Linked DNA regions of Elephas maximus indicus. The protein of the gene in region 1 interacts with the protein of each later gene in a pairwise test. Links are inferred from orthologs where the notes say so. Each region holds a gene or a part of one and is shown in the gene's direction. Other genes may lie near its edges. The genes, in order: CALCOCO1, CWF19L2, CEP19 and dual specificity protein phosphatase 13.

Region 1 (8,115 bases):
AGAACACTTGATTGTGCTCATGAGGAACCTGTACATAGACCAAGAGGCAGTTGTTTGAACAGAACAAGGGGATACTGCGTGGTATAAAATCAGGAAAGGCGTGTGTATCCTTTCACCATACTTATTCAATCTCTACGCTGAGCAAATAATCGAGAAGCTGGACTATATGAAGAAGAACACAGCATCAGGACTGCAGGAAGATTCATTAACAACCTGTGATATGCAGATGATACAACCTTGCTTGCTAAAAAGAAAGGGGATTGAAGCACTTACCGATGAAGATAAAAGACTACAGCCTCCATTATGGATTGCACCTCAATATAAGGAAAACAAAAATCCTCATAACTGGACCAACAAGCAAAATCATGATAAACACAGAAGATGCTGAAGCTGTCAAAGATTTCATTTTACTTGGATCCACAATCAACACCCATGAAAGCAGCAGTCAAGAAATCAAACAACGTACTACATTGGGCAAACCTGATGCAAAAGACTTCTTTAAAGTGTTAAGAAGCGAATGTGTCACTTTGAGGACTAAAGTGCACCTGACCGAAGCCGTGGTATTTTCAATTGCCTCATATGCATGCAAAAACTGGACAATTAATTATGAAGACTGAAGAAGAATTGATTCCTTTGAATTAAGATGTTGGCAAAGAATACTGAATATACTGTGGACTGCCAGAAGAACATACAAATTTGTCTTGGATTCTTCAGAACCCAAGAATGCTCTTTAGAAGCAAGAGTGGAAAGACTTCATCTCGTGTATTTTGGACATGTTATCAGGAGGGACCAGTCCCTGGGGAAGGACATCATGCTTGGTGAAGTAGAGGGTCAGAGAAAAAGAGGAAGACCCTCTACGAGATGGGCTGACACAGTGGCTGCAACGATGGGTTCAAGCATAGCAATGATTGAGAGGATGGCACAGGACTGGACAGTGTTTTTTGTTCTGTTGTACTTTGTGTCACTAAGAGTCGGGAAGCGACTCGACAGCACCTGACAATATTGGTTAGGAAAGCACTACCCATTCCCATTGCCATCGAGTCAATTCTGACTCATAGCAACCCTACAGGACAGAGTAGAACTGCCCCATAGGGTTTCCTAGGCTATAGCTTTATGAAGCAGACTGCTACATCTTTCACCCACAGAGTGGCTGGTAGGTTCAAACTGCTGATCCTTCAATTAGCAGCCAAGTGCTTAACCACTGCCACCAGGAAAGCACTAGCTACTGTAAAAGATAAACCACCCTTCTACCCAATTATGTTTTTAGTGGCATGACAAAATAGAAACGTATTTATTGGTCAAGTGGAGTCCAAAACGCACGTTCCTGATGAGCAGGTAGCTCTCTGCCAATAGGTGATTCATGGAACCAGGTTCCTTCCATCTTTTGGCTCCATTACCTTTAGCATGTGGCTTTCAAGGTTATCTGCATTAGGCCAGAAAGGAAAGAACATAAGGGAGATTTCATGGGCAAGGCCTGGAAGTTGTACCACATCACTTGAAGAGAAACTGAAAAGCATGGTCCAGCTGTGTGTCCATGAAAAAGAAGGAAACAGGTTCTGATAAAGACATAGCAGGCTCTACCTCATCTGGCATTCGAGATTCTCCACCCTTGGTTATAAGCTTATGTTTCAAACTTTTGTCTTCCATTATCCAGGTATGACTCATCCATGGTATATTAATCAGCTTTGCTGCAGTAGCAACCAACCCCAAAATCTCCGTGGTTTACAACAACAAAGGTTTCTGTATATGTAGGCTGTGGGTAGGTTGCAGCTCTGTTCCATGAATCTTCTCATTCCAAGAAGAAGGAGCAAGCCCCGTGTGAAACATGCCCATTCTAGTGGCAGAGAGGATGAATAAGAAAGGGGAAACTCACAAGCTCAAACATGGCATGAGTCACATCTACTCACATTCCGTTGGCTAAAACATGAAATATGACCAAGCCCAAAGTCAATGAAATGGGACATGTACTCCTTCTACAGAGCCATGGTGGCGTAGTGGCTTAAGAGCTTGGCTGCTAACCAAAAGGTCGGCAGTTCGAATCTACCAGCAGCTCCTTGGAAACCCTATGGGGCAATTCTACTTTGTCCTAAAGGAATTGACTTGATGGTGACAGGTCTGGTTTTGGTTTACTCCTTCTATAGAAGATACTGCAAGTCACATGAAAATGGGCAGGGAAGGAGAGAGTAAATAATTTCAAACAATAAATTAGTCTACTGGATCTTAGTTACCTAGTGCTGTTATAACAGAAATACTATAAGTGGATAGCTTTAACAAACAGAAATTTATTCTCTCACAGTCTAGTAGGCTAGAAGTCTGAATTCAGGCTATCAGCTCCAGAGGAAGGCTTTCTCTCTTCTGTAGGCTCTGGAGGAAGGTCCTGGTCATCAATCTCGCCTTGGTCTAGGAGCTTCTCTGCGCAGGAACCCTGGGACTAAAGGACATGCTCTGCTCCCGGCGCTGCTTTGTTGGTGGTATGAGGTCCCCAAATCTCTCTGCTCACTTCTTTCTTTTATATCACAAAAGAGATTGGTTTAAGACACAATCTAATCCGGTAGATCGACTCCTGCCTCATTAACATAACTGCCACTAATCCCACCTCATTAACATCATAACCCAGACTTAACATCATAAAAAAAAAAAATCATAGAGATGGCAAAATGGTGGACAATCACTCAATACTGGGAATCGTGGCCTAGCCAAATTCATACACATAACTGGGGGGAGATACAACTCAATCTGAGTTTGCAAAAAAAAAAAAAAGTTGAATTTGATTTGCTGTTCTTATGTGACTCCCAGCATCAATTACACATTTACACCTTTTAATCTTTGCTTCACCCTGGAATAAGTTTATCCTTCCCAGTCCCTGACCTGCCAAATCGTCCAAATATAATCCATCCTTCAAATATCCATATTTTATATTCATTCTTTCAACAAAATTTATTGAATACCTAGCATAGTACCGGAAACCCCGGTGGCGTAGTGGTTAAGTGCTACGGCTGCTAACCAAAGGGTCAGCAGTTCGAATCTGCCAGGTGCTCCTTGGAAACTCTATGGGGCAGTTCTACTCTGTCCTATAGGGTCACTATGAGTCAGAATCGACGTGATGGCACTGGGTTTTTTGGTTTTGAGCGTAGTATCTAATACATTACCTAATACATATTTATTGACTGAATCTCAGATCGTCTTATGCCTTGCTCACAAATGCTCAGTGAACATTTATAGCCTGATTAACAACACTCTTCCTTAGAGCAATGGAAGTTAGTATCACATGCCAGGAGTTGCTGGGGTGGGAGTATGATGTACTGGCTACTTGTGTTTGAATCCTTACTAGTTGGATGGCCATATGCAAGTCACTTAATTGTCTGTGCCTCAATTTCATCATATGTAAAATGGCGATAATAACAACAACAACAAAAATCAAACCAAATCCATTGCTATCGAGTCAATTCCAATTCACAGTGACCCTCTAGGACAGAGGGTTTCCAAGGCTATAATCTTTACAGAAGCAGAATACCACATCTTTCCCCCTGGAGCAGCTGGTGGGTTTGAACCACTGACCTTCTGGTTAGCAGCTGTTGTAATAATACGGCTGTTGTATTAAATATAAAAAGCTTTTAGCGTGGTTTAACACATTTGAAGCACTCAATGTAAGAAAATGATTATTTTTAGCTCCAGATGAAACTAAGTTTTCTTACGTGCCTTTATTCTGCATAGAAGTAAAAAATCAAAAACACCTGAGACTTGGGTGGGACTGCTCTTAACCCACTCCAGGACCTTGAGCTGCCTCCTCATCCAGTAGCTTGTTCCCTAACTCATAAATCCTGACTAATGACACAGACAGGTCACCTTAATGTTTGTGCAGCCCAGTGACTTATTAAGTGCTTGGAAATCTTCAGACAAAACGTACCCAAGGGCAGGCACCAGACACCCCATTCACAGTCATAAAAGCAAAATACCACCCAAAAAACTTGGGAAAGGCAGAAGTCTCCATAACTTAGTGCAGCAGAAAATTAAAGGCAGGCACCTAGGAAGAGCAAATAAATCCTTAGACTGTCATCCCTTAATACAAGGACAGCGAGAGGGATTAATTTTGAATGCCTCAGACTATCTAGAGGGGCAGGGAAGGATGCCCAAATCCTGGCTTGGGGGTTGGGAAGAGTGTGAATCTTTTTCACCTCTGCTAAATAATACTGGAGCAACAACATGTATTGTTAGCCTAATTAATTAAAGCCAGTTAAAAAGCCTGGGCAAGCGGGCCCCCGTAAGTGGCTTGTTTGTGAGCTATGACAAGTCCTCCATTATGCCAGGCTCCCTCTTCAACTTCATTCCCTCACCCCACTGCCCTCCCCACCACCACCTCAGGCAATGCATCCCAGAGGCCACTCTAGGGCAACTCAGTTCAGGTCCGTCAGTATTGACAGGCCCCTGGCACTAACATTCTTCAACTGGAAAACAATGGTCAGCGGTGTGGAACACATAGTTTTTACAAGGTCACAGCTATTAGCTTTCCATCTCCTAAATGGGGGGTCATTCTGGGGTAGTGGCAAGAGCACTGAACTTGGAGTCAGGCAATCCTGGTGGAGTTCTGCCATTTCATAGCTTAACCGTTCTGAGCTTTAGTTTCCTAATCTGTAATGTATGGATAACAATAATACCTATCTCACAGGGTTGTTGTGAAAAATAAGAGAGCGTATCCGTAGCGTTCTGAAAACTGTGAAGCGTTATTCGGAAGGCGTTAGAGCCGTAAATCCTCCCCACCCCCAAAAATGCACGTTGCAAACAACTACCACTAACGCAGCCTGCCCCCCTCCTGAGGAATCATGGGATGTGAAGTCCTCCGATAGCCACACCCCCGTTTACAGTCATGGAAGTGAGAACTACGCCTCCCAGGAAGCTGTGGTGAGGCCGCAGCCACGGCTGCCCTCTTCTCCGCCCCCCTTTCTCGCCGCCTTTTGGGTAGTGTAGTCCTAGATCCAAACCTGCTCTGCCGCATAAGGGCGCAGAAGAACCACAAAACCCAGAAGTCCTCGGGCCCATTCTTCTCCCTCCCCTGACGGAGTCGGAGTGCTGTTTTTGTTGTTGGTGAAGGGTGACGGGAACAGCTGATCCGTCTGTAGGGTAAGAAACTTGGCCTAATTTAGGGGCGGTCCGGGGGGGGTCACCCCACTTTCCAATCTGTGAGAGGGTAGGGAACTGTAGAAGAAGGATTCGGGTACGTTTGGATTTTAACACTTTCCCCACTGGAAAGGCCACCCCCACTGTTTTGGGAGTTCTTGGTTTCAGGGGAGCCCTGAGCAAGGTGGGTGTCCTCTCGCTGTCCTCACCTTCTTGTCAGCCCTTTTCCATAAAGCTTGATACGCCTAGGAGAGTTGAGGGGCTAGAACCTTTGCTTATTGTCTCCCAGGCAACACTTGATCCCCACAAACCTCCCTTTACACGTGTTCCCCTCCCCCTCCCCAAATCCAAAGGCCTTCACTACGCTGAATCCTTGGGTGGGGAGGACCTTCCAAGCTGTAGAATGTCAAGGAACTCTAGAGCCCTAGACAGTGGGAGAAAGGAACCCCCATATGAACATTTAAACCTGGCTGCACACATGCACCTTGGGTGTCCAAGCTTTTTTTCAGGCCTTGGGAGTGTTTCCAGCTGTTACAGATTTTGTTTGTGGGGAGTATTAGGGGTTACCCAGGCTTAGATCTTTTTTTTTTTTTTTTGTGCTTTAAGTGGAAGTTTACAAATCAAGTCAGTCTCTCACACAAAAACCCATATACACCTTGCTACATACTCCCAATTGCTCTCCCCCTAATGAGACAGACTGCTTCCTCCCTCCACTCTCTCTTTTCGTGTCCATTTCACCAGCTTCTCAGGCTTAGATCTTTGAGGACAACTTATTTACTCCTTAGAAAGCCAGAAGAATTGTATCTGAGGAAAACATGGACTAGTTTTCATTAGGGATTTTTCAGATATGTAAATCCAAAGGAACCCCTTGTTACTTCTATCTCTAATTTGGAGAGAGACATCACTCCTTTTTGTAGAGCTGGCCCACCTGTTTTCTGAGTTTCAGTTTTCTTTTAAAGTCCCTGTCTTCGGCTTGGTGTGGGTTTGTGATGTTTGGAGGTGTGCACATGACTAGTGGCGATGGCTGATTGGATACTGTCAGCCGAGGCTGGCCGAGGATGCAGCTTCGGGAGCCAGAGGGGAGGGACAAGGAAGAGGGCCGTCTCACTGCCCTGGGCTGAGGAGTTCTCTTGATTGTTATTATTGTTATCTGTCCTCACCCCACCCCCAAATTTTCCAATTAATTCTTCCCAGCTTACTTGGAACACCCCTTCCTCCCAGTCTCATCCTATAGCATATCTGCAACTACCAATGCAAGCAGATGGAAGAATTCAGGCACTTAAAATTGATACCAAGGGGAACTGGAGGAAAATACTAGAGCTAACAGCAAGTCAAACCAGTAGGTTTCTTGCCCTGCAAGATCTGGAGAGAAGAATGTTAGGTCCTTTTTGAACTCTCTCTCCCTTCCCTCAACATTAAATATATATTACCCCCTTGCTTCCCACCTTGCTTCCCAGGGCCCCTTGCTTCCCAGGGCCCCTTGCTTCCCACCTTCCAATCTGTCTGCTACCCAGTGGGTGGGACTTTCCTGTCTCCCAGCCCCCACATTCCATCTCCCCCACACCACCAAGTTCCTGCCAAGTGTTTCACTCCACCCTTGAAGCAGCCGCCTCCAGAATTCTGACTTCCTGTAATGATGAAGTTGAGTGATAGAACCTGTCTTTCCTTATATCCACTGAGTCCCTTTGACTCTTGGGTGAAAGCAGGGCTTTACTTCCCTAAAATTTCTGGGGGTGGACAGCTCAGATTGGGGGAGAGGACTGAGAGCTCAGGAGCCTGAAGTTGGGATGTTGGTCCCCTCAGGCCATATTTCAGCTCTGAAGACTCAATCATTCCTTTCAGATGTTAGTGTTTTCAGATGTCATGACTCATTCCCATGTATAGCTGAATCAACAACCTCAAGAGACCTGCTCAGAATGAGGGGGCCCTACATCTCAGTTGAGTTTTGAATTCAAGAGCTAAAAGATGTGGGGGATGGATGGGGAGATGGAGGCTGAAGAATCCAGAAGGCTCAAGGAGGGTAAGAGGGAGAAAAGGAGAGACTGAGGAGGATAGAGCCTGGGATAATGAGACATGGTCAGTTGGGCAGTGAAAAGGGAGCAGAAATTGGAAGGATCTGAATTCTGGGACAGGTCTGTGAACCAGAGAGGGTACAGTGTGAGACAGGGTTGGGAGTGACTTGGAAGTCCAGACTTATGTCCTAGGACTAAGAGTAACCCTAAGGGGCTAGAAACCAGATATGCCTTCATCTCCAGGTATAGTGGCAGGGGCTGGTGTATGTGTGGGTGATAGGGATGTGGAGGGAAACAGAATAGAAAGACTTTGGAATTGTCTTAGTTACCTAATGCTACCATAACAAAACATACCATAAGTAGGAGGCTTTAAAAAGAACAGAAATTAATTTTCTCTAGTTCTAGAGGCTAAAAGCCCAAATCAGAGTCTCAGCTATGTCCATGCCTTCTACAGCCTCTCCTAGTTTATGGTGACTGCTGACAATCCTTGGTGTTCCTTTGCTTGTAGAGGATCATCACATGGCATCCGTCTTGCCCCTGTGTGTGTGTATCTCTGTGTTTATTTTGCTGTTCTTATAAGACACTGTTCAGAAGTGGTTAGGTTTAGGACCCACCCTACTTTGGTTTGACCTTATTAACATAACACAAGAAAACTATTTCCAAGCAAGGTCATATTTACAGGTACAGAGGTTAGGACTTCAGCATAACTTTTTTGGGGGGTACACAATTCCATTCCTAACAGATGTTAATCCTTTCCTTCACAGGAAGGCAGATATCCCGAGGGCATATGGAGGAATCATCACTAAGCCGGGCACCATCCCGGGGTGGAGTCAACTTTCTGAATGTAGCCCGGACCTATATCCCCAATACCAAGGTGGAATGTCACTACACCCTTCCCCCAGGCACCATGCCCAGTGCCAGCGACTGGATTGGCATCTTCAAGGTATCCCTGCAGCCCCTTTTGGCTCAGGTTTACAACCATGAGTTG
Region 2 (7,210 bases), on another chromosome or scaffold:
TATAAAAGAGAGAAGTGAGCAGAAAGACGGGGGGACCTCATATCACCAAGAAAGCAGCGCTGGGAGCGGAGTGTGTCCTTTGGACCTAAGGCTGCTCCATGGAGAAGCTCCTAGACCAGGGGAAGATTGATGACAAGGACCATCCCCCAGAGCTCAAAGAGAGAGAAAGTCTTCCCCTGGAGCTGGCACCCTGAATTTGGACTTCTAGCCTCCTAAACTGTGAGAGAATAAATTTCTCTTTGTTAAAACCATCCACTTGTGGTGTTTGTTATAGCAGCACTAGATAACTAAGACAATAGTATATCAACGTTAGTTCACTGATTGTACCAAATGTACCATTCTAATGTAAGATGTAAAGGTCGGCAGTTTGAATCTACCAGGTGCTCCTTGGAAATTCTATGGGGCAGTTCTACTCTGTCCTATAGGGCCCCTGTAAGTCAGAATCTACTCAACGGCAATAGGTAACATAAGATGTTAGTAATAGGGGAAACTGGGTGAGGGTATATGGTAATTCCTTGTAATATCTTTGCCATTATTCTGTAAATCTAAAACTGTTGTAAAATAAATAGCTTATTAAACAAATGTGTGACTGCTTTTTTCCAGCAGGGCAATAGAAAAGGTAAAGTTGAGAGCATTTCAGAATGATATCTAAAATTAACATGGCACATAAAATGAATGTGAAAGTGTGGTGCAATTTATACTGCGATTCCTATACCACACAACAGACGTCAGTATTATATTCAGGTGGGTATTTAAAAAAAGTTGATTATTGTGATGAAAGTACAGTCTCTCATTCTGTTCCATTCCAAGGTGACACAGCAGAGTGCGTGGCTGACGGTTTCTCCTGGCTGTGTGGGGTTCTAGGATCTTTTAGTCCCCTCTGGAATTGACTCAACGGCAGTGGGGTTTTTTTTTTTTTTTTTTTTTGTGGATCCTAACTGGTCTTTGGTACAGAGTGGCTGCTGTGGCCTGTGATTTCAGTGACAGCTGTCTGATTATTGAGTATTTACAGTCCTGGTACTTGTTTTGCATATATCCTTCTAGTGAATTCCCCTATTTCCTTAAATTTGTCAAATGCCATTCAAATTGCTTGCATACAACCAAAGAATCCCAACAGATAAAACCAATTAAAATATCTAAATGATTTTTTTGTGATCTTGATAATCTGATTTTAAAGTTCATAGGGGAGAGTAAATGTTCAAGAACAGCCAAGAATACCCCGATAAAGAATGATGATGGAATAATTCTACCAGATATCAGAAACACACTATAAAAACTATAGTAATTAAAACAGGATGCAATGGCTGCAGGAATAGTGATCAACTGGACAGACTTTAGAAACAGTCCCATAGATACATGGGAATAGGTAGATCTCTGGCACAAATGGTTTGTGCTTGACTCCTAACCTAAAGGTTGGCGATCTGAACCCACACAGCAGTGCCACAAAAGAAAGACCTGAAAATCTGCTTCTGTGAAGATTACAGCCAAGAAAACCCTATGACTACGATTCTACTCTGTAACACACGTGGTAACCCTGAGTCAGAATCAACTTGACAGCAATGAGTTTGGTTATACATGAGAATATAGTGTATGATTTTAAAGCACCATTTATAATCAGTGTGGAAATAATGAAATAAATCAATAAATGATATTAGGGCTTTTGGATATTTATATGTAAAAAAATCATATCTTGTGCAGATATGACTAGCTGTCTACAAAAATCTTTTCTCCCCTTCCATGGTATAGATTTTTAATGGAGAAGTGACTGCAAAACCAGGGACATCTTTTCTTATGCCCTGTGCATCTAGTTGTGGCCATGTGACTAATTCTTGGCAATGCTGTACAAACAAAGCTGTGTTCCATTTCTGGTTCAAGGGTTTTAAGTTGAGTGTGCCTCTCCAATGGTTTTTCTCTTTCTATTGTCTGAGTGCCAAAAAAGATTCCCTAAGTTATATCTGAGACACAGATGAAAGAAGCCTGGGCTCTTGAATCACCTCATGCAGCAGGAATTACCAACTACTAGGAATACCTATCATGGTGAGTACTGGTTGAAGACAGCCTAGTCTAACCTAACAAATATAGGACACTTTTTCACATAGTTTATATATTAAAAAAACTTCCCGTTCATGAAAGAACTGATTATTAAAATAAGCTCTAAGAGGCAATTAATAAATATGTAGAGAAATAAGCATACGGAAAGGTTCTTAACCTCAAAAGTAATCAGGAAAATACAAAGTGAAATAACGGTAATATAGCATCTTAATTTGATACATACATTTGGCAAAAACTTAGAGATAATACACAATATCAGCAGAGAGCTGAGGAAATAGCTTCTGTCATATACTGCTCATGATAAATTGGTAGTCACTTAGGAAAAAAACTGAGCAGAATGTATTGGAATTTAAAAAAGGGATTCCCATTGGTATAGTAACTTTATTTCTCGATTTCCATTTTAAAAATGCTTTCATATATGAATAAAAACTTCACCAACCACCTTTAGGTTCCTTATTACATTACCCCTTATTTGATTAAATCACAAGATTAGATTTCTAGTAGGTGTGGCCAAATGCAAACATAATCAAAACAACTTGCTTTCTGCCCCCCTACCCCCTGTATCATCTTGTCGCTTCCTACCCCAACTCCAAAATTTTTGTTGGTAATTTTATTGGCACTGCATTATGTTTACAAATTAATTTATGGAGGATTTATCATATTTATAGTCTCTTTCATCAATCACATAATATACCTCTCCATTTGTTCGAGTCTTCTTTTGTGGCATAAATAGGACTATAAAGTTTTCTTCATGTAATTTTGCACGTGTTTCTGCAATAACCACCATTTATTTTTAGTTGCTCCATAACTGATGCAGGGGAGAGAGGAATGTTTTTCTTAATCCCAGGAAAATCTGAAAAGACTTCAATGCTGGTTGAAAGAATTATGACAACATTAGTATGTCACGGTCAGTGGGTTAAATATTACAAGGTCAATTAGTAAATTAAAATTCAATCTTCTGTAGCAAAAATACAATGAGTAAATTTTATTTTGTATATCAAACAAGTAAACCACATGCTCAAGGTTAAGATTTTCACTAAATGGTAAAACAAACTCTGGGGAAAGCTTCTTGCAAACAAATGCAATTTTATGAAACCTGAAAAGAAAGAATATTTACCTCAACCCCACTTATGTTAATTATTTTGTGTCTTTAAGATATTTAGCTTATATTTTACAGATTTCTTTGTATATGATTAAAATGTAAGCTCAGTGCTTTGTATTGTCAAAGCACTTGATTTTATTTCAAAATGGAACTTAAATTTTTTATGTTTGGGAGAGACAAACATAAAACAACAAAACACACGCACAGGTAACGGCACGTTGCAATGAAAAAAGCCTGGATGGATGAGATGAACAATTAAGATGGGACCAATATGAAAAACTTCTAAAAATTAAAGTAAGCACGGGTGAAGTACAATGCAAAATCACATCACTATTTCATATATTAAAAAAAAAAAAAATTAACCAAAGCAAAATACCGAATCAAACCAATTTCGCCCTTCCTGCCTGCTTCTGCTTTCCCCGCCAGCCTTCTTTCTTCTCATTCCCCCCAGCACCCGAAATCTCCTATCGCGAGAAGGGTACTTAATTGGAGACCCTGGTGGCTAGTGGTTAAGAGCTACGGCTGCTAACGTAAGATGGTCTGCAGTTCGAATCTATTAGGTGCTCCCTGGAAACCCTATGGGACGGTTCTACTCTATCCTGTAGGGTCGGTATTATTTGGAATCGACTGGACAGCAACTTTTTTTTTTTTTTTTTAATTTAACCTCTATGAACTTCTGACTTAGTGGTGATTTTCGAGGAAACACGAGAAAGCCGTCAGTATAGTGCACAGAGCGTAACAAACGTATATTGACACTAAACCTGCTCAGGGCGAATCCAGTACACGAACAGAGGGTAACACTTCACTTAGTCTTCACGTCTCTAAAACGTGGAACTTGTAATTCTGACGTTTACGCACCTCACAGCAGCGCATGCTCCGTAGGTGAAACAGCGCCTCTCCTTCCCCTCGTTGGAGATTCTGGTTTGTCTATTAATTTACGACAGTCGTAAATTAGGATTTCGTGATGGCTTCCTAACTTTACGACGGCAACAACTATGGCGGCTGCTAGTGGTAGATTTGAAAGTGCGAAGAGTATCGAAGAGCGTAAAGAACAGACCCGGATTGCTAGGGCCGAAGTGTTGCGCCAGGTACGTCTATTTTGGAGCTTTTGAAACCCTTTAAGTTGTGGGAGTGGAGGGTTCCCGACAGCTAGGCACTCCAGCTTCCCTCATCCCGGCACACACTTAAGTACCTTACCTTTTCTGGGTGGGGTCTCTTTTGAGGATACCCCCAAGCTCTTGGCTGTTCCCCGCCTTCCAAACGCTCTGGCTGGCTCCTTTGTTCTTTCCCTGTATTCAGGGAGCGTTGTTCCTTTTCCTCTGAGTTTCCTTGCCTTTTAAATCATCCCGTCTTTTCTGTCTCCTGGACTGCGCACTTGTAGGGACTCTGCCGTAGTGCCTTACAGCCTTAGTCCTTGCTCATGTTGTATCTGAAACTAAAATTTTCATTTTGAAGAACAGTTGTAAAGAATGTGTTTGACCATTTTATTCTCGTGTCTTCCTTTTGGTATCAGTTTCAGGCTCATTGCAAGCCTTTACTGATCCAAACAAGGGTTGACAGTGGAGACCCAGAAAATTTAGTCCCTGGAAAAAGATTGAGAAACTTTGTATTCCTCATTTAGACTGAGATGCATAGAGGTAAGATACAAAGAATGGAGCAAGTAAACTCTATTAAATTGTCTAACAAGCTATTCAAGATGTTTGGTAACAAATGGGAAAAGTTAATAGCTGGAGAGCAAGGTAGGGTACAAGTGAAAGTACACGGTTTTGTTTGTTTTATGATGGGAGAATTTTAAACGAGTTTAAATGCAAATGAAAGGATCCAGTACAGAAGGAAAGGTAGAGGATGCAGGAATGAGAGGGTATAATGACTACAGCCAGATCTTAAAGTGGGAGAGTAGGCAGTTAGTCTTAGACAAGCGCAAGGTCTGTATTGCTCCCTGACTTTAGTATAAGTATTATGTATGTATAGTAAGTATTCTTCAACCTTGATTCTGGTATTTTCAAGCAGTTTTTCGAGGGAAGTAGGGTTTGTAAGCATGCTTTTAAATCCTCATTGTTTCTGTAACCCTTATCTGCAAACTCAGCCTTATTTGCTCTTATTTATTCTTGTGAAAGAGTTTACTTAATGCTATTCAAATGTAAGTGTTTTCTGTAATTTGCTGAAGCTTGTTCAATATTATCGTGGGGTAAGGGAGAAAGATTTATTTGTGGAAAAATAAGTGGTAACATAGTTCTGATATGACTATTAGGAAAAGATAAAAGACTATTAGTAAAAGATTACATTGTTGAACAGGAGCTATGAATATTATTTACTCATTTATTTGCATACAGACTAGAATTACCTTGAGAACTGATATTTGTTTGCAACATTACCATTCATATTAGTTCCTTAAGTGGTTTTAAAAATTTTTATTGTAATTCATTTTCATTTTTATTTGAGTTTTCTTACTTTTGCTGTGAGGAATAAAATGATCCTCACTCCCAAATGCTGGAAGAAAACTTCCAGTTTACTCTTTGATATTTGAAGAAAAAAATATCCAAAACTTGGAAATAAGGCAAAACATGACTATGCTTCCCTTAATATTGTAGTTGATTTGGAAATCGATTTGGCGCTTCCTTATAAAGCTAGAAATAGAACTGCTATACGATCCAGCAATCCCACTCCTTGGACTATGTCCTAGAGAAATAAGAGCCTTTACGCGAACAGATATATGTACACCCATGTTTATTGCAGCACTGTTTACAATAGCAAAAACATGGAAGCAACCAAGGTGCCCATCAACACATGAATGGATAAATCAATTATGGTATGTTCACGCAATGGAATACTACGCATCGGTAAAGAACAGTGAGGAATCTGTGAGACATACAACATGGAGGAACCTGGAAGGCATTATGCTGAGTGAAATTAGTCAGTTGCAAAAGGACAAATATTGTAGAAAACCACTATTATAAGAACTTGAGAAATAGTTTAAACTGAGAAGAAAACGTTCTTTTGTAAAAAGTTACGAGAGGGGGGAGGGAGGGAGGAGGGTGGGAGAGGGGCATTCACTAGATAGTAGATGAGAACTACTTCAGGTGAAGGGAGAGACAGCACACAATACAGGGGAGGTCAGCACAATGGGACTAAACCAAAAGCAAAGAAGTTTCCTGAGTAAACTGAATGCTTCGAAGGCCAGCGAAGCAGGGGCAGGGGTCTGGGGACCATGGTTTCAGGGGACATCTAAGTCAATTGGCATAATAAAATCTATTAAGAAAACATTCTGCATCCCACTTTGAAGAGTGGTGTCTGGAGTCTTAAATGCTGGCAAGCAGCCATCTAAGATGCATTCATTGGTCTCAACCCACCTGGATCAAAGGAGAATGAAGAACACCAAGGACACAAGGCGATTACGAGCCTAAGAGACAGAAGGGGCCACATGAACCATAGACTACATCATCCTGAGACCTGAAGAACTAGATGGTGCCTGGCTACATCCAATGACTGCCCTGACAGGGAACACAACAGAGAACCTCTGAGGGAGCAGAAGAGCAGTGGGATGCAGACCCCAAATTCTCATAAAAAGACTGAGACTAGAAGGACCCGGGTGATCATGGCACCCAGATCTTCTATTGGCCCAGGACAGGAGCCATTCCCGAAGCCAGCTCTTCAGACATGGATTGGACTGGACAATGGGTTGGAGAGGGATGCTGGTGAGGAGTGAGCTTCTTGGATCAGGTGGACACTTGAGACTATGTTGGCATCTCCTGCCTGGAGGGGAGATGAGAGGGTGGAGGGGGTTAGAAGGTGATGAAATGGACACGAAAAGAGAGTGTGGAGGGAGAGAGTAATTGGGAGTGTGTAGCAAGGTGTATATGGGTTTTTGTGTGAGAGACTGACTTGATTTGTAAACTTTCACTTAAAGCACAATAAAAATTATTAAAAAAAATATTGTAGTAGAGAGTTGTCTAAGCAACCTGCCTCATGGTCATCTGACTAGAGAAACATGACTTTGATGGATTTGAGCTGAAACTATGAAGTTAGATCTTGTAGAACACTGGTATAATGTGTTGG
Region 3 (7,131 bases), on another chromosome or scaffold:
CTCTAAATCATATGAAACAGTATTTTAACTTAAGTAAAAATCAATGGACAACTTACCTGTGGAAACCATCTTTCAAAACTTCGTGCCTCAAAATAATTTCAGAACAAGTGGTTCTTATGCCTAAGAGAACCAAAAGCAATTTTTAGAAAAGCTTTAAATAGCTACATCATTAATAAGCTTTATCACCCTGGAAAACCTAACCAGCCTAAAAACAAAACAAACAAAATTTTTAAAACTTAAGTAATTTACACTACACATAAATCTGCTTCCTGTAGAGTAAGAATATTGACTCAAGTTAGACTGCCTGGTTCAAATCCCAGCTTGTCACTTAATAGCTGCGTGACTTCGCGCAGGATATTTTCTCTCTCTTTTAAATATCATCAGGATTAATACATGTAGAAGCACTCAGAACAGGGCCTACGAAATAGTAAGTGCTCTGTATAGTGTTTGCTCTTAATATTACTATACTCAGGTGACCACGAGACACTGGAACAAATAGAATGACAAAAGAGCCAGGAAATCTGTTTTAATCCTAGCTCACACTGACAGTGTATCAGATACATACTGGCAACTTCTGTATTCTGCCACCCACAGCTATAAAACTGGGAAGACAGTATATTCACGCCTTGTGGGGATGTTGGGAAACCCTGGTGGTATAGTGGTTAAGGGCTATGGCTGTTAACCAAAAGGTCGGCAGTTCGAATCCAACGGGCACTCCTTGGTACCCTATGGGGCAGTTTTACTCCATCCCGTAGGGTCACCATGAGTCAGGTTTTTTGCAGGGGGGAATGTTAGGAGAGTTTAAAAAGGAAAAAAATCTGGAGGCACACAAAGCTTCAAATGGTTCCTACGTAAACCCAGAATAACCAGAAATCAGACATTAAAACTATTACTCCATGTCAGCATCATAAAACTAAAAATTCAGTTACTGTTGACCACCAACTCTGCCAGGCACCTTGCTATGGAACTGAATCCCATTTTCAAAAGCTGGGTGTGTGTGGGAAACACATTGAAACAAACACACAGAAAACTATATACTATTATCGTGTGCTGCTGAGTCCATTAGATGTATTCCAGTGCATGGGAAAAAAATGATGTAGAGATGAAAACATTTGAAAAACACAAGGGAAGGAAGGAAAAACAAATGCAAAACTAACATTTATCCGATAATATCTATATATCAGATCCTGTACTTGAGGTTTTCATATGCGTTTTCTTCTGCATTTTACAAAAAATCTAGCAAAATAAAAAAATAGGCAAGCAAAATGACTGCCATTTGTACACAGGAGAAATGCTGACTCTGGGTTAGAAACTGGCTCTGGGTCACTAAGTGATTGACTGGAAGCAAGATTTGACTGACTTTTAAAGCCTCTCTCCACTCTACCTACTTATTTAAAGGAGTCCTTATTTGCTTTTAACAAAAAAGAAAAAAAAAAAACATTGCCGCCAAGTTGATTCCAACTCATAGCAACCCTGTAGGACAGAGTAGATCTGCCCCGTAGGGTTTCCAAGGAGCACCTGGTAGATTCAAACTGCTGACCTTTTAGTTAGTAGCCATAGCTCTTAAGCGCTACGTCACCGGTTTTCCTATTTGCTTTTGAGAAGCATATAATCTTTACCTAAATAAACAACTTATCTATCTCTTGTACAAAACCAGACTTTTCTTCATCATGTTTAAGTTTAACAAAGATGACTTAGGGAGCAAGGGCTTATATCTACTTATAAATTAAATTAGAAAAACCAAGTCAGATTGATAGGCTTAGATTCTATTGGCATGTATACCACAGTAGTAAATCACATAACCATGAGATGGTGGGAAGACTAATTTACAAACAGTATAGCAAATACTGGAAACCCTGGTGGCATACTGGTTAAGAGCTACAGCTGCTAACCAAAAGGTCAGCAGTTCATATTTACCAGGCGCTCCTTGGGAACTCTACAGGGCAGTTCTACTCTGTCCTATAGGGTCATAATGAGTCAGAATCAACTCGATGGCAACGGGTTTTTATAGCAAATACTGTTTGTCATTATGATTATTATTATTACACTTTAGGTGAAGGTTTACAGAGCTAGTTTGCTCATTAAACAATGAGTACACATCTTGTTTTATGACATGGGTTAACAACCCCACAACATGTCAACACTCTCCCTTCTCAACCTTGGGTTCCCTATTACCAGCTTTCCTGTCCCCTCCTGCCTTCCAGTCCTTGCCCCTGGGCTGGTGTGCCCCTTTAATCTTTAGTTTTATGGGCCTGTCTAATCTTTGGCTGAAAGGTGAATCTCAGGAGTGACTTTATTAGTGAGCTAAAAGGGTGTCTGGGGTCCACACTTTCAGTTTTTCCAGTCTCTGTCAGGCCAGTAAGTCTGACCTTTTTTTGAGTTAGAATTTTGTTCTCTGTTTTTTTCCAGTTCTGTCCAGGACCCTCTATTGTGATCCCTGTCAGAGCAGTCAGTGTGGTAGCTGGGCAACATCTAGTTGTACTGGACTCAGTCTGATGGAGGCTGTGGTAGCTGTGGTCCATTAGTACTATTTGTCATTTTTAAGGCGAAAGTTCCATTTTCAAAATAAACTTGCACCTGAATTCATCTTCAAGGTTTTTCCTATTAAGTATTACTTTATTTGGTTGTGGTGGCCTGAAGTGGCTCTAAAAATTGTACCTTTTTTAGTCATAAGATGCCAGTGCTGGACGAGTCTTTAGAGATCACCAAGTCCAATTGTGTTAAATTTTTTTTTGTTTTTTTTTGGCTTCTTAAATCCTCTTCTCAAATAAATTTGGAAACCTAATATGTAAAACAGGAGGCCCTGGGTGGCCCAAGTGGTTAAGGGTTGGACTACTAACCAAAAGGTCAACAGTTCAAACTCACCCAGAAGGGCCTCAGAGGTAAGGCTTGGTTGGCCTTCTGCTTCCGAAAGGTCACACCCTGGAAAACCTTAAGGAGTAGTTGTCTTCTCAGCACATGGGGTCACCATGAGTGGGAATTACCCAACTGGCAGTGAACAACAATATGTAAAGTACACAAAATCAGAGCTGCGCTGATGGGCAGATGCTAGTCTGTGCTGACTTTCCTTCCCGTGTCAAACGCCGAGAAGCCCTGTGCTAACCGAAAAGTCAGCGGTTCCAATCCACCAGCCGCTATGTGGGAGAAAGATGTGGCAGTCTGCTTCCGTAAGGGCAGTTCTACTCTGTTCTATAGGGCTGCTAGGCGTCGGAATCCACTGACAGCAATGGGCTGCGTCAAACGTTATCACTTCATTGTGTCCGTCTCCCCCAGGACATTGCCGATGCACCAGGGTTGGGGCCATGTAGATCTAGCTCAAGACTGGATCCACAGCACTTAGCCCAACACTCCAGGCCAGGGACTCGGGCCCAAAGCAGTGATCAACTCCCTCGCCCAGCCCAGAGTCATAAAGAAAGCCTCGCCCAAGCCAGTCTACCATTAAAGATGCCTGAAATACAAAACTAGCCGGTTCCTCAGAATCTCTATGTTCTGGGTTGGGAGTCTCGCGCTGTGCAGCGCGCTGAGGCCTTACTGATTTTGGTGGTCGGGGTTGCACGCATTGCAAGAGGACCCCAAAATGCTTCATTCACGGCCGTGCTTCTGTATGACAGTCCCCGCCAGTCCCGCCCCGGAACAAGGCCCGGTTCTCCGAAGACCCAGCTGCCGGCCGACAGAGCAACGAGTACGGGCACAGCAAGGCACGTGACCTTTTTTCTTTTTACCTCCTCCAGCCCACCCTACAGTTGCGGGCTTCCAGGCCGAGAGCAGGGAAGCACCTTCGCAAACCGAGGGGCGGAGAGGGCTCCTCCCGGTCTGCGCCCCATCGCTCCGCCCTCAAACCCCGCCCACACGGCTGCAGGCCCCGCCCTCCCCTTACCGGCGTCGGAGACCGAGGCGGGCGTGCACGCCAACCCGGTCGCCGCCCAGAGGTGCAGCCAGGCCACCGCCCGGACAGCCACGGCACCTGCCGCCAGGATGCCCGAGGGCGGGCGCCGAGAGGGGCGCGCAGGGACGAAATGCGGACGGCGGAAGCACGCGTTTCACGCCCCTGCAGGCGCGCGATGCCACGGAGGTACTGGCCGGGACGGAGGCCTCAGGGGTCGCACCAGGCTGCAACCCCGAACCCCAGAAGTTCCGGCGCCGCGTGAGGCGGCAGGTCCGACCCCCTCATTTGCTCCCCTCGTCGCCCCGCCCTTCGCCGTCCGAGGCGGGGCGGGGCGACGAGCGGCGCAAGCGCAGTGACGTAGGCCCGGCTGTTGCTGTGGAAACCACTGAGCCCGCCCCCGGGCGGGCAGTCTGGAAGCCCCCTCGAGGTGCTCACGCCCTGCACCTCCGCTTCCAGGGATTTGCGCTGTCGGGCCTCCTGCCGCGGAGTTCACCCCACAGTCACGTCGGCGGGGCCGTGGCCTTCGCCTCTTCCTGCACCGCCAAGCCCCGCCCGGCCTCAGTGCCGGGTTAAGCAGGGGCTCCTCGGTGCGCTGCAGTCTGGGGGGCAGGAAGCCCCTCGTGGTTTTAGACGCTGGCCTGCAGGAGATGCACTTTGTGTACCTCTCTCGGGGTAAGGAAGTCAACCTTGTGCTAGTGGGGCCCATGGAGGAAGAACGTCCCAGAATGGTTAAAGGACCGTGCACCCACAGAGGGTCTCCATTGGCGGAATCCTTACACTTCCAGGTGCTGTGGGGGATGCTTCGCAGGATTACGGTAGTCATTGGTCTTTGCGGAGAAAAATATGTTAGGAAGAGTAAATATGTTGTCTTTCTTCTTGAATTGAATCTGTAAGCAGGCCTAGAAAGCATCCAATAAAAAGAATCCAGTCCAGATTGGAAAATACCAGAATAGGCATATTATGAAGAAATATGGTGATAAATTTTGGGAGAAACACCTAAAAGAATTGAAACTGGCTTACTATGGGGAGACGAAGGGCAAGGAGAGTAGTTTTTTGTTATAAGCCTCAGAATTATTTCACGTTTTAGACAAACTATAAGTATTACTTCCGTAAGAATAAAAATTAAAGAGTCTGTAGCAAAACAAAAAAAACCCTGCATTATTGAGTATCTATTGTATATACCATTTGTGAGTACAGCCATTTGCTTAAGTGTCTAGAGTTTATATTGTTTCTGCTAGAAAGTTCATTAACAAACCAAATCTTAGTGAGGGGAACTGGGAGTAGTATTTGTTTTTAAAAAAAAAAGGGGGGGGAGGGCATAGAGGTAGGTGGAATCATTGCATTAGATCAGAGCCCAAACCAAAAAACCAAACCGAGTGCCGTTGAGTCGATTCCAAGTCACAGTGACCCTATAGGACAGAGTAGAGCTGCCCCATAGACTTTCCAAGGAGTGCCTGGTGGATTCGAACTGCCGACCCTTTGGTTAGCAGCCATAGCAGTTAACCACTATGCCACCAGCGTTTCTGAAAGAGAGCCCAGTATTTTGAAAAAGCAAATTTACTAAGTGAAAATTCCCACGTCCTGTGGTACATTTGAGGAGCCCTGGTGGTGTGGTGGAAACCCTGGTGGCATAGTGGTTTTTTTTTTTTTTTTGGTTGGTGGTTCAGTGGTTAAGTGCTTGGCTGCTAACCGAAAACTCAGTGGTTTGAACCCACCAGCCCTCTGCTGGAGAAAGATGTGGCAGTCTGCTTCCATAAAGATTTACAGCCTTGGAAATCCTGTAAGGCAGTTCCAGTCTGTCCTGGAGGGTCGCTATGAGTCAAAATCCATTTGGGGGCAACAGGTCAGGTTTATGGTAAATTTATGGATTCCCTGGGTGGTGCAAATACTTAATGCACTCTGCTGCTAGCCAAAAGGTTAGAGGTTCGAGCCCACCCAGAGGCTTCTTGGAAGACGGGCCTGGCAATCTGCTTCCAAAAGATCGCAGCCTTGAAAACCCTATGGAGGAGCACAGTTGTTCTCTTCACACTTGGTGTCACTGTGAGTCTGAATCAACCTGATGGCAGCTGAGAACAACAACGTGTACGTATAATGTGTCGATTGTAGTTCATGTGGTTCAGAGGTGTTAACTGAAAGGTTGGAGGTTCGAGCCCACCCAGTGGCCATCTACTTCTGAAAAATCAGCCGTTGAAAACCCTGTGCAGCATGGTTCTATTCTGACATACGTGGGATCACCATGAGTTGGAACTGACTCCGTGGCAACTGGTACTGTTTTTTTAATGTATAAGACACAGGGAGCCCTGGTCTTACTGCGGTTAAGAGCTACAGCTGCTAACCAAAAGATTGGCAGTTTGAATCCACCAGCTGCTCCTTGGAAACCCTGTGGAGCAGTTCAGCTCTGTCCTGTGGGGTCACTATGAGTCGGGACTGACTCACTGGCACCTAACATCATGAAACACTTGCTTTTATTGCATCAAGTTGATTACAACTCACAGGAACCCTGTAGGACAGAATAGGAACTGCCTCGTAGGGCTTCCTAGGTTCTGGGAGCAGATCTCCAGGTCTTTTCTCCCGTGGAACTGCTGGTGGGTTCAAACGGCTGACTTTTCAGTTAGCAGTCGAGCACTTAAGCATTGCACCAGCAGGACTCCTTGGATAAAATATTACACAGTCATATAAAAAATTGCGTTTTAGTAAAATATTCAACGACAAGAAAATAATCACAGACTGTTAAATTTAAAAGGCAGGAGATAGTATATATATATTTTTTAAATATCATAGTTTAGAAAAATAAAATTGTATGTCTAAATAAAAGCCTAGAAGGAATTACGGCTGATTATTTTATGTCTCCTCTTCCCCTCCCCCCCAGCTTTCTACAATGGACTTAGGTGAATTAGGCGCATGTTATTTAAGTATTTTTTTTAATCAAGTTACTATAGTGATTCTCTAACAGAACTGAGTTAATTAAGATATAAACACCCTATGCCACTTCACCTTAAAGTTTCTTGACATTTACAGATCTTCCTGGGAATATCAGAGTTGCATCAAAAGCAGTCCCAGTAATGAAGTGTATTTTGGTGTTGAAGGTGGGGAAGGAAAGAGGGAATTGAAAGTATTAACCTGTAAAAGCTGTGCTGCTTCTGGGAACCGAAAAAGTAACCTATAGTGAGGCAAGTCAGCTGAAAGAAAAGCTGTGTGAACGTTATTGTCTCATATATGTAGAGGCCAGTTCCGAACCAGGTCTG
Region 4 (7,367 bases), on another chromosome or scaffold:
CTTCAGTTTCCTCACCAATGTGATGGGAATGACACAGCACTTTTTAACATCCCAAACAGTTTAACATTCATCCGTTCACTCACCAGCCATTTACTGGGTATCTGCCATGTGCCAGGCTCTGAGCTAGATACTGGGAACCCAGAAGAAAGCAATGTAGGGCCCCTGCCTCATGGAACTGTTACCTGTGTGATGGAAAGACAGCCAAATTGTGAAGTGTCGTGAGTGCTACCGTAGGCAAAGGTGAAGAGTGGGGCACTCAACTCACTCCAAGGATCAGAGAGGTAGGGGACCTTTCTCTACAACAGTACTCACTGGACCACATGCAAAAGCCATGGGCTGTTCTGTGATTCAGGCAATACCCTGAGGTGGTCAGGGAAGCCCATGTGAGGCAACATTGTTTCATTTGAGACCTGATGAATGACTTGAACTTAGTCAGACCAAGAGCAGGGGAAAACTTTTTCAGGTAGTTGAAATAGCATGTGCCAAAGCTGGAGGGCAGAGACCATGACAGCTTCAAGGAACTGAAAACTACCCAGTGTTCCTAGAGCTGAGAGTTAGGGTGGGATCACCTGAGATGAGAGGTGGGCTCAGCAGGGGAAGCTCTTAGAGGGTCTTGTAAGTCATGTGAGTTGGACCTCATCCCAAAACAGATGTTAGTCTACCCATTTGACAAATCAGGAAACAGGCCCATAAGGCCACAGGGTCACAGAGTATGCCCAAGGTAGACAAGGGAAAGGAACTTGGGTCTCCATCCCAGGCCCTGGGAGGGTCTCCTGGTAGAGAAGGGTCTTTCACTAGGATGTCTTCCTCAGCCAAGGTCCTGGTGCACTGTGTGGTGGGTGTGAGCCGCTCTGCCACGCTGGTCCTCGCCTACCTCATGCTGCGCCAGAAGTTGTCCTTGCGCCAGGCGGTGATCACTGTGCGGCAGCACCGATGGGTCTTCCCCAACCGAGGCTTCCTCCACCAGCTGTGCCAGCTGGATCAGCAGTTGTGGGGTGCAGGCCGGAACTGAGGGGCCAGGTGAGGGCTGGGCAGGAGGTTGGGGGGTAAGGGGGCAAGGCTGGGTGCCATTAAAGTGAGAAGTCAGGTGAGGGGCTGGGCAGGGGGCAAGGCTACAGTTAGAAGTAAGGGGTCAAGTAAAGGCTGGGGACATGGGATGGGACCAGTTCAGTGGTTGGTTGGCAGGAGGGATGTATGTGGCTGGAAATGAAGGCTGAAAGAGACCAGGCCCACTCCCCAAGATACTGGGATCCCCTCGTTGACCCAAGGTCTCACCAGGACCTGGCTTAGGCAATACTCCTGTAGGCCTTCCTCTCCTGCAGCTTATCCAGGTTCTCAGACCTCAGAAAGAGTGGAAAGGCTAAGAAGGAAGGGAGTGGAAAGTATAAAATGGAAGAGCTTGTGAGGCTGGCTTGTCCTGCCTCCTCAGCAGAAAGGCTGTGGGAGCTCACCTGAACCTCGCCATGGTCAGACCTGGCACCTGTGGCTGTCTGGACCTTCCTGCACCTCTGCCAAGCCTATAACCTCTGCATCTCCCTCCCCTCAGTTCTAGACCCAGCTACAGCCTCAGGAAGAAAATTTGGCTGCAGCTATAGTTCTACACTTAGCGAATTCTCGTCCCAGCCCTGTTCCACCATTCCCACAACGGGAAAGGAGGACAGGTTCCCGAATGTGCTCCTGCCACCAGCCATGATGTCTAAAGCCCTGCTCGATGCCAGAGTTCTCCTGTATCTCTCCTGCACTTGCACCACCCAGTTCTCCACCATGTTTTCAGCACCCAGACCCTACCCATCTCCCAATTACTCTTCTGATCTCAGAGATCTACACAGGACCCTGTCTACCCTTGCTCCCTCTCTGGTTCTGGGCACCTCTTTAGAACATAAAGGTCTTCCTGAAGCCTACCCAGACTCCTTTCTGCTCCATTCACCCCCTGCTTTCTAGTTCTGTATTCAGGGCAGCTGGAGAAATAGCCCATGGTCTTTAGGTTGCACAAAGGGAGCAGATCACCAGTACCTCATCTTCCCAACCCAACCCCTCCAGCCGTGGGCTTCAGTGTCCTAAGTAGAAGATGGTGGGTTTCTCAGACTTGTGATTGTTGCTAGTTTCCGTCAAGTAGGCCCCCAACTCATGGCGACCCCACGTACAATGGGATCAGACCGTTGTGATCCATAGGTCTTCGTTGGCTGTGTTTTTTTTTTTTTTAGTGTTCTGATCATGCTGTTTTTTTTTTTTTTAATTTTTATTGTGCTTTAAGTGGAAGTTTACAAATCAAGTCAGTCTCTCATACAAAAATTTATATACACCTTGCTACATACTCCTAGTTGTTCTCCCCTAATGAGACGGCACATTCCTCTCCACCTTCTATTTTTGTGTCCATTCGGCCAGCTTCTGACCCCCTCTGCCATCTCATCTTCCCTCTAGACAGGAGCTGCCCACATAGTCTCATGTGTCTACTTGATCCAAGAAGCTCACTCCTCACCAGTATCATTTTCTATACTATAGTCCAGTCCAATCCCTATCTGAAGAATTGGCTTTGGGAGTGGTTCCTGTCTTGGGCTAACAGAAGGTCTGGGGACCATGACCTCCAGAGTCCTTCTAGTCTCAGTCAGACCATTAAGTTTGGTCTTTTTATGAGAATTTGGGGTCTGCATCCCACTGCTCTGCTGCCCCCTCAGGGGTTCTCTGTTGTGTTCACTGGCAGGGCAGTCATCAGTTGTAGCTGGGCACCATCTAGTTCTTCTGGTCTCAGGCTGATGTGGTCTCTGGTTTATGTGGCCCTTTCTGTCTCTTGGGCTCATAAGTACCTTGCGTCTTTGGTGGTCTTCATTCTCCTTTGCTCCAGATGGGTTGGGACCAACTGATGCATCTTAGACGGCCTCTTGCTAACGTTTAAGACCTCAGATGTCATTGGCTGATTTTTGGAAGTAGATCACCAGGCCTTTCTTTCTAGTCTATCTTAGTCTGGAAGCTCCACTGAAAGGTTACCAGCCCACAAGTGGTCGCCAAGGTGCTGGTTCCATTTCTTTTATGTCAGCCTTCTGTTTTTCTCTAGCACATTCGGGAGAAGGGAGAGATGTCTCTTCTAGGGGTGGGGTGGCTGGGGGTGTTCCAGGCTTGTGAGGAAAGCTGCAAAGCACGCCTTTCTCCCGGATTCAGTCTGTCTTTGTCTGCCCCAACAGCATGGCCTTCCCCACAGCCACATCCTACCTGAGGGCTATCAGCTGGAAGTGAAGCCTCCAGACTGCTCTCTGCTTCCCCCACCCCACCTCCAACTCCTGCCATCCATCCTGATCTTTGCCTCAGTGTCCTCAACCCCATCTTTGGCTGTGCACCACCCACTGGCTCAGAGTGGCTGCCAACTGGGGACGGGTGACTGGATGGGCCCCTCTGGATGGGACAAACCAGGACCAGCCTAGGCTCCCCTGGGAGCTGGATGAGCTTCTTTTCTTGCCCCAAGGGTCTCCCGTGGAAGAGTCCCCACCTCTCACACCCTCCATAGGAGCTGTTTTTGTCTCTGAACACACAACTAGCCCAAGCAAAGGGGAGGAACTTTAACAATATTGACTCCTTCCCACATGCTGTCTGAGGATGAGCATCTTGGGATGGGGGTTAGGGCCGGATGTGGGGACTACGTTTAGAGTTTAACAGTGAGTGTGATGGGAGAAAAATGGGTTATAGCTGGGTTTGGGATTAGGTCTGGGACTAAGCTGGGTGGGAAACATTTGTGGAGAGCTCTGCAGGTATTGGGTCCAGAGGAGGACAGGAGTGGTATGTTCCTAGCCTTCTCTCTCTCCTCTAGACAGGTTTCAGGAACCTGGCAGAGCAACAGATCTCTGGACATGCCCAATCACCCTACTTCATCAGGCTGGGATCCCTAGACACCCTGGTATCTGACCTCAGTATCTTTGCCTATGAGGCACCTGACTTCAAGGAAGCCTGTTGGGCAGGGCTGCAACATTGCACAATTCCTGGGGCTGCCATTCACCGAATGGTATATGCGACTGGAGACCCTAGGAGTTGTGCAGTGCACAGTCCCCTGGGGCTGGGGACTCTGAGATGGTGGTGCTGTGGGAAAAGTCATCTATTTCCATGAACCTGGGTCCCCAACCTACCTCCTCATTGCTCCCCAGCACCTGCACCCACTTGATCTTACACAAGTGGCTCCTGCCTGTACCCTGATGTGTCCCAGCCAGCCTGGGCCTTCCTTGGTTTACCTGCTTGCAATACGAAGCTCATCTGCACCCCAGAGCCAGTCATTACTCTCTGCCACGGGGCTCTGCCACTTTGCCACCCTGGCTCTGGCCCTGCTGGTGCTTCTGGAGCCCCTGGGACAGGTGGATACCTGGAAGACGGTAAGAGCCTGGTGTGGAGCCGACCCTAGAGCCTGCTACTCTGTCTTCCTGTTGCCCCCACCCCTCTTGGCCACTGTGTTCACTCCCCAAACCCTGAGGTTCTGTGGCCAGGGACCCCAGGTTCCCTAGAGAGCAGGGGAAGAGACACGGAGGGGATTCTAAGTGTCCATGATAGCCCCTGGCCACAAGCTGCCTCCCCCCAGCTCTCCCCAGGGCTCATGGACCCCAGTGGGGGCTGGGTCCTAGCTCACTGGAGTTGATCAGACTCCAGAGACTCCAGTATAGGTGTGGTTGTGGGTGTGTCTCTTTGTGCGTCCATTATCTGGGACTGAAAGTGAGGAGAAGTGCTAAGGTATGGGTTGTGTGAGGAGGGTCTCCGGGTGGTCACGGAGGGCTTTAATAGGCCCTAATCCAAGGTCCCTAACTGACCTCAGTTAGCCTTGGGAGGGACTTTAGAGACCAATTCGCTGGCTTCAAGGGACAGTGAGGCCTGGGCCAGGGATACCCCATCCTGCCTTTTGTGGGAAGGAGGCAGGTGCAACTGGTTCCTGGACACACAACTTCTTATTGCAGGCTGGGGCTGGGCCCAGGGTTTAAAGGCCCGCTCTGTACCCCACTTGAACCTTTGTCTGTTTGTCTGCCTGTGCTGCTTCCCTTAGCCTGAGTCTTCTAGTTCTTAAGCCTGGGCCAATCCCATAATCCTGAGTCCCCATCTAAGGGTCCCTGGACTGGGGTTCTCATGTTAACAGTGCCACCAACTTGCTGTGGGATTTGGCTAGTCTCTTCCCATGTCTGGCCACAGTGTCCTCCTGCATGGAAGACCCCTCCAGCTTTAACTTTCTGACGCTGCTCTACATCACTCTCAAAGGCCAAAGGAGCTTTCAAAATGGTTTATTTGTGCTTCCTTCTCCCTGCCTCCCTATAAACGGGCACACATGCCACCAGCAGACCCCTGCCATGCTGCCTGTACTCCCCGCAGGGCCTGGAGGGGAAGGTGCTTGGCTGGGCTTGGCACTGACCATGCCATGGGACTAGTGGGCGAGTTGGGAGTGGCAGGGGGAGGTCAGCAGGGGGAGCAGCACATCATGCTTTATAATTAAACTCAAATCAAAAAATAGAAACAGCAGCAAGTGTGCAGAGACAGGCGGCTGGAAACCAGCAGCACAAACTGCCCGTCAGAGAAGACCACGGCCTGGGTCAGATACCACTGCAGGTGGGTGGATGCCTCTATTTCAGGGGGGCCACCGAGCATGCTGGGTAACGAGGGTCAGGACATTCATGCCTGTGTCGGGGGTAGGGTGTGAGTGGAGAAGAATGGGAGGCCGACTGGGTCAGAGATAAAGGCAGAGACAAAGTATAGTAGAGTCAGAAAGACCTGGGTTTGAATCCTACCTCCATGTGTTTTGACTACGTGACCTTGGGTAGGTTGCTTAACCTCTCTGAGCCTCAGTTTCCTTATCTATAAAATGGGGATGATGATATCATTTACAGGAGCCCTGGTGGTGCAATGGTTAAGTGCATGGCTGCTAATCAAAAGATGGGCAGTTTGAACCCACCTCGCGGTTCTGTGGGAGAAAGAACTGGTGATCTGTTTCCAAAAGATTACATCCTAGGAAACCCTATGGGACAGTTCTACTCTATCACATTGGGTCACTATGATACCCCCACAGGTGAGTGAAAACCGACTTGACGGCACCCAACAACAACAACATCACCTATACCATAAGGGCACTGTGAGGATTTAATGAGAAAAGGTAAGCACCAAGCTCTGTGTCTGGTACACAGTACATTCTTAATAAGTGGTAAAACAAACAAACAAACAAACAAAAAAACCATTGCTGTCAAGTCGATTCTGACTCATAGCGACCCTATAGAACAGAGTAGAGCTGCCCCATATGGTTTCCAAGGAGCGCCTGGTGGATTTGAACTGCTAACCTTTTGGTTAGCAGCCTAGTTCTTAACCACTACACCACCAGGGTGGTAGGTATAATAATAATTATTGCTGGGCAGAGAATGAAATGTCAAGGGATAAAAAGAGATAAGAGGCTGAGCCTCACTGCACCTTGGGGAAGTTACCCTCTGCCCAGGATATGGATGAGGTTGAAGGAATAACAGTAACGGCAATAATGACAGTAACAGTAAGGTGCCCTGTTTATTGCGCATCTCCCAAGAGGCAGACCCTATGGCAGGTGCTTTCCATTTATTATCTCACAGGCTTCTCACTGGCTCAGAGAAGACCACACAGGTACCAGTAACAGACCTGAGAATCCCACCAAGTCTGCTGACCTCCCGGGCCTGCAACTGTGCATGCAGGGGGTGTGGGGGGTCATGGAGGAGCATGAACTTCCTGTGAGGGGGTGGGAGACAGGTAAATGGGGAGAGCAAAAGAGAGGAGAGATACAGACAAAAACAGAAAACAAGTATCTGGGCTGGTAAACAGCAGCAACACAAAAGCAGGAAAGCCACTGCCCACAGAGTCAGTGGCTCAGCTTATGGGAAGAGAAGTGGGAAGGAGGCAAGAAGCCCAGGGCTCGATAAGTAGGGAGAAGAGCCTGGCCTGCCCTGTCTGTGCTGAATGCTGGGCCCGTTCTTCACCCTCAGCTTTTGCCAAGGAAATGTGGGAGAAACTGTCAAGAAGGGCCTCCACAGCCCAGGTATGGGGGTGTCAGAAACCACGGAAGCCCACTGCAGCCACTAACTCCCCTTCCCTGGCTGTGCCTGGGGCCTCAAGGATGAGTCACTGGGCTGGCACCTGGGCCCGACTCCACCCACGATGCAGGCTGAGCCCCCAGTGGGATAGAGCAGACAAGTGGGGTACACCGTGAGCACCAGGAGTGAGGTTCTAGATGGGACCTGGCAAGTTGTTTCTGCTGTGTGCCACTGAGTCGATTCCGACTCATAGCAACCCAACATGACAGAGTAGAACTGCCACATAGGGTTTCCTAGGCTTTACAGGAACAGATTACCAGTTCTTTTCTCTCCCAGAGCGGATGGTGGGTTGAAACCACCGACCTC

What was found.
Region 2: the proteins of CALCOCO1 (region 1) and CWF19L2 interact in binary tests that used the Homo sapiens proteins (3 or more experiments, as listed by UniProt). The two-hybrid records come from large-scale screens. The link is inferred for Elephas maximus indicus from reciprocal best matches to the Homo sapiens genes CALCOCO1 and CWF19L2.
Region 3: the proteins of CALCOCO1 (region 1) and CEP19 interact in binary tests that used the Homo sapiens proteins (3 or more experiments, as listed by UniProt). The two-hybrid records come from large-scale screens. The link is inferred for Elephas maximus indicus from reciprocal best matches to the Homo sapiens genes CALCOCO1 and CEP19.
Region 4: the proteins of CALCOCO1 (region 1) and dual specificity protein phosphatase 13 interact in binary tests that used the Homo sapiens proteins (3 or more experiments, as listed by UniProt). The two-hybrid records come from large-scale screens. The link is inferred for Elephas maximus indicus from reciprocal best matches to the Homo sapiens genes CALCOCO1 and DUSP13B.

Annotation. Positions count from the first base shown.
Region 1 is NC_064822.1:109,207,212-109,215,326, reverse strand, and holds the start of CALCOCO1 (calcium-binding and coiled-coil domain-containing protein 1), read left to right. Parts: upstream 1-5,035; 5' UTR 5,036-5,118; intron 5,119-7,891; 5' UTR 7,892-7,914; coding exon 7,915-8,070; intron 8,071-8,115. UniProt on the Homo sapiens protein: Functions as a coactivator for aryl hydrocarbon and nuclear receptors (NR). Recruited to promoters through its contact with the N-terminal basic helix-loop-helix-Per-Arnt-Sim (PAS) domain of transcription factors or coactivators, such as NCOA2.
Region 2 is NC_064825.1:12,385,652-12,392,861, forward strand, and holds the start of CWF19L2 (CWF19-like protein 2), read left to right. Parts: upstream 1-4,093; 5' UTR 4,094-4,149; coding exon 4,150-4,242; intron 4,243-7,210.
Region 3 is NC_064819.1:18,245,332-18,252,462, reverse strand, and holds the start of CEP19 (centrosomal protein of 19 kDa), read left to right. Parts: upstream 1-4,040; 5' UTR 4,041-4,671; exon of another isoform or gene 4,672-5,968; intron 5,969-7,131. UniProt on the Homo sapiens protein: Required for ciliation. Recruits the RABL2B GTPase to the ciliary base to initiate ciliation.
Region 4 is NC_064834.1:12,424,477-12,431,843, forward strand, and holds the start of dual specificity protein phosphatase 13, read left to right. Parts: upstream 1-4,296; 5' UTR 4,297-4,352; intron 4,353-5,470; 5' UTR 5,471-5,565; intron 5,566-7,367. Other genes in the region: dual specificity protein phosphatase 13, read left to right, coding at 813-1,012. UniProt on the Homo sapiens protein: Dual specificity phosphatase that dephosphorylates MAPK8/JNK and MAPK14/p38, but not MAPK1/ERK2, in vitro. Exhibits intrinsic phosphatase activity towards both phospho-seryl/threonyl and -tyrosyl residues, with similar specific activities in vitro.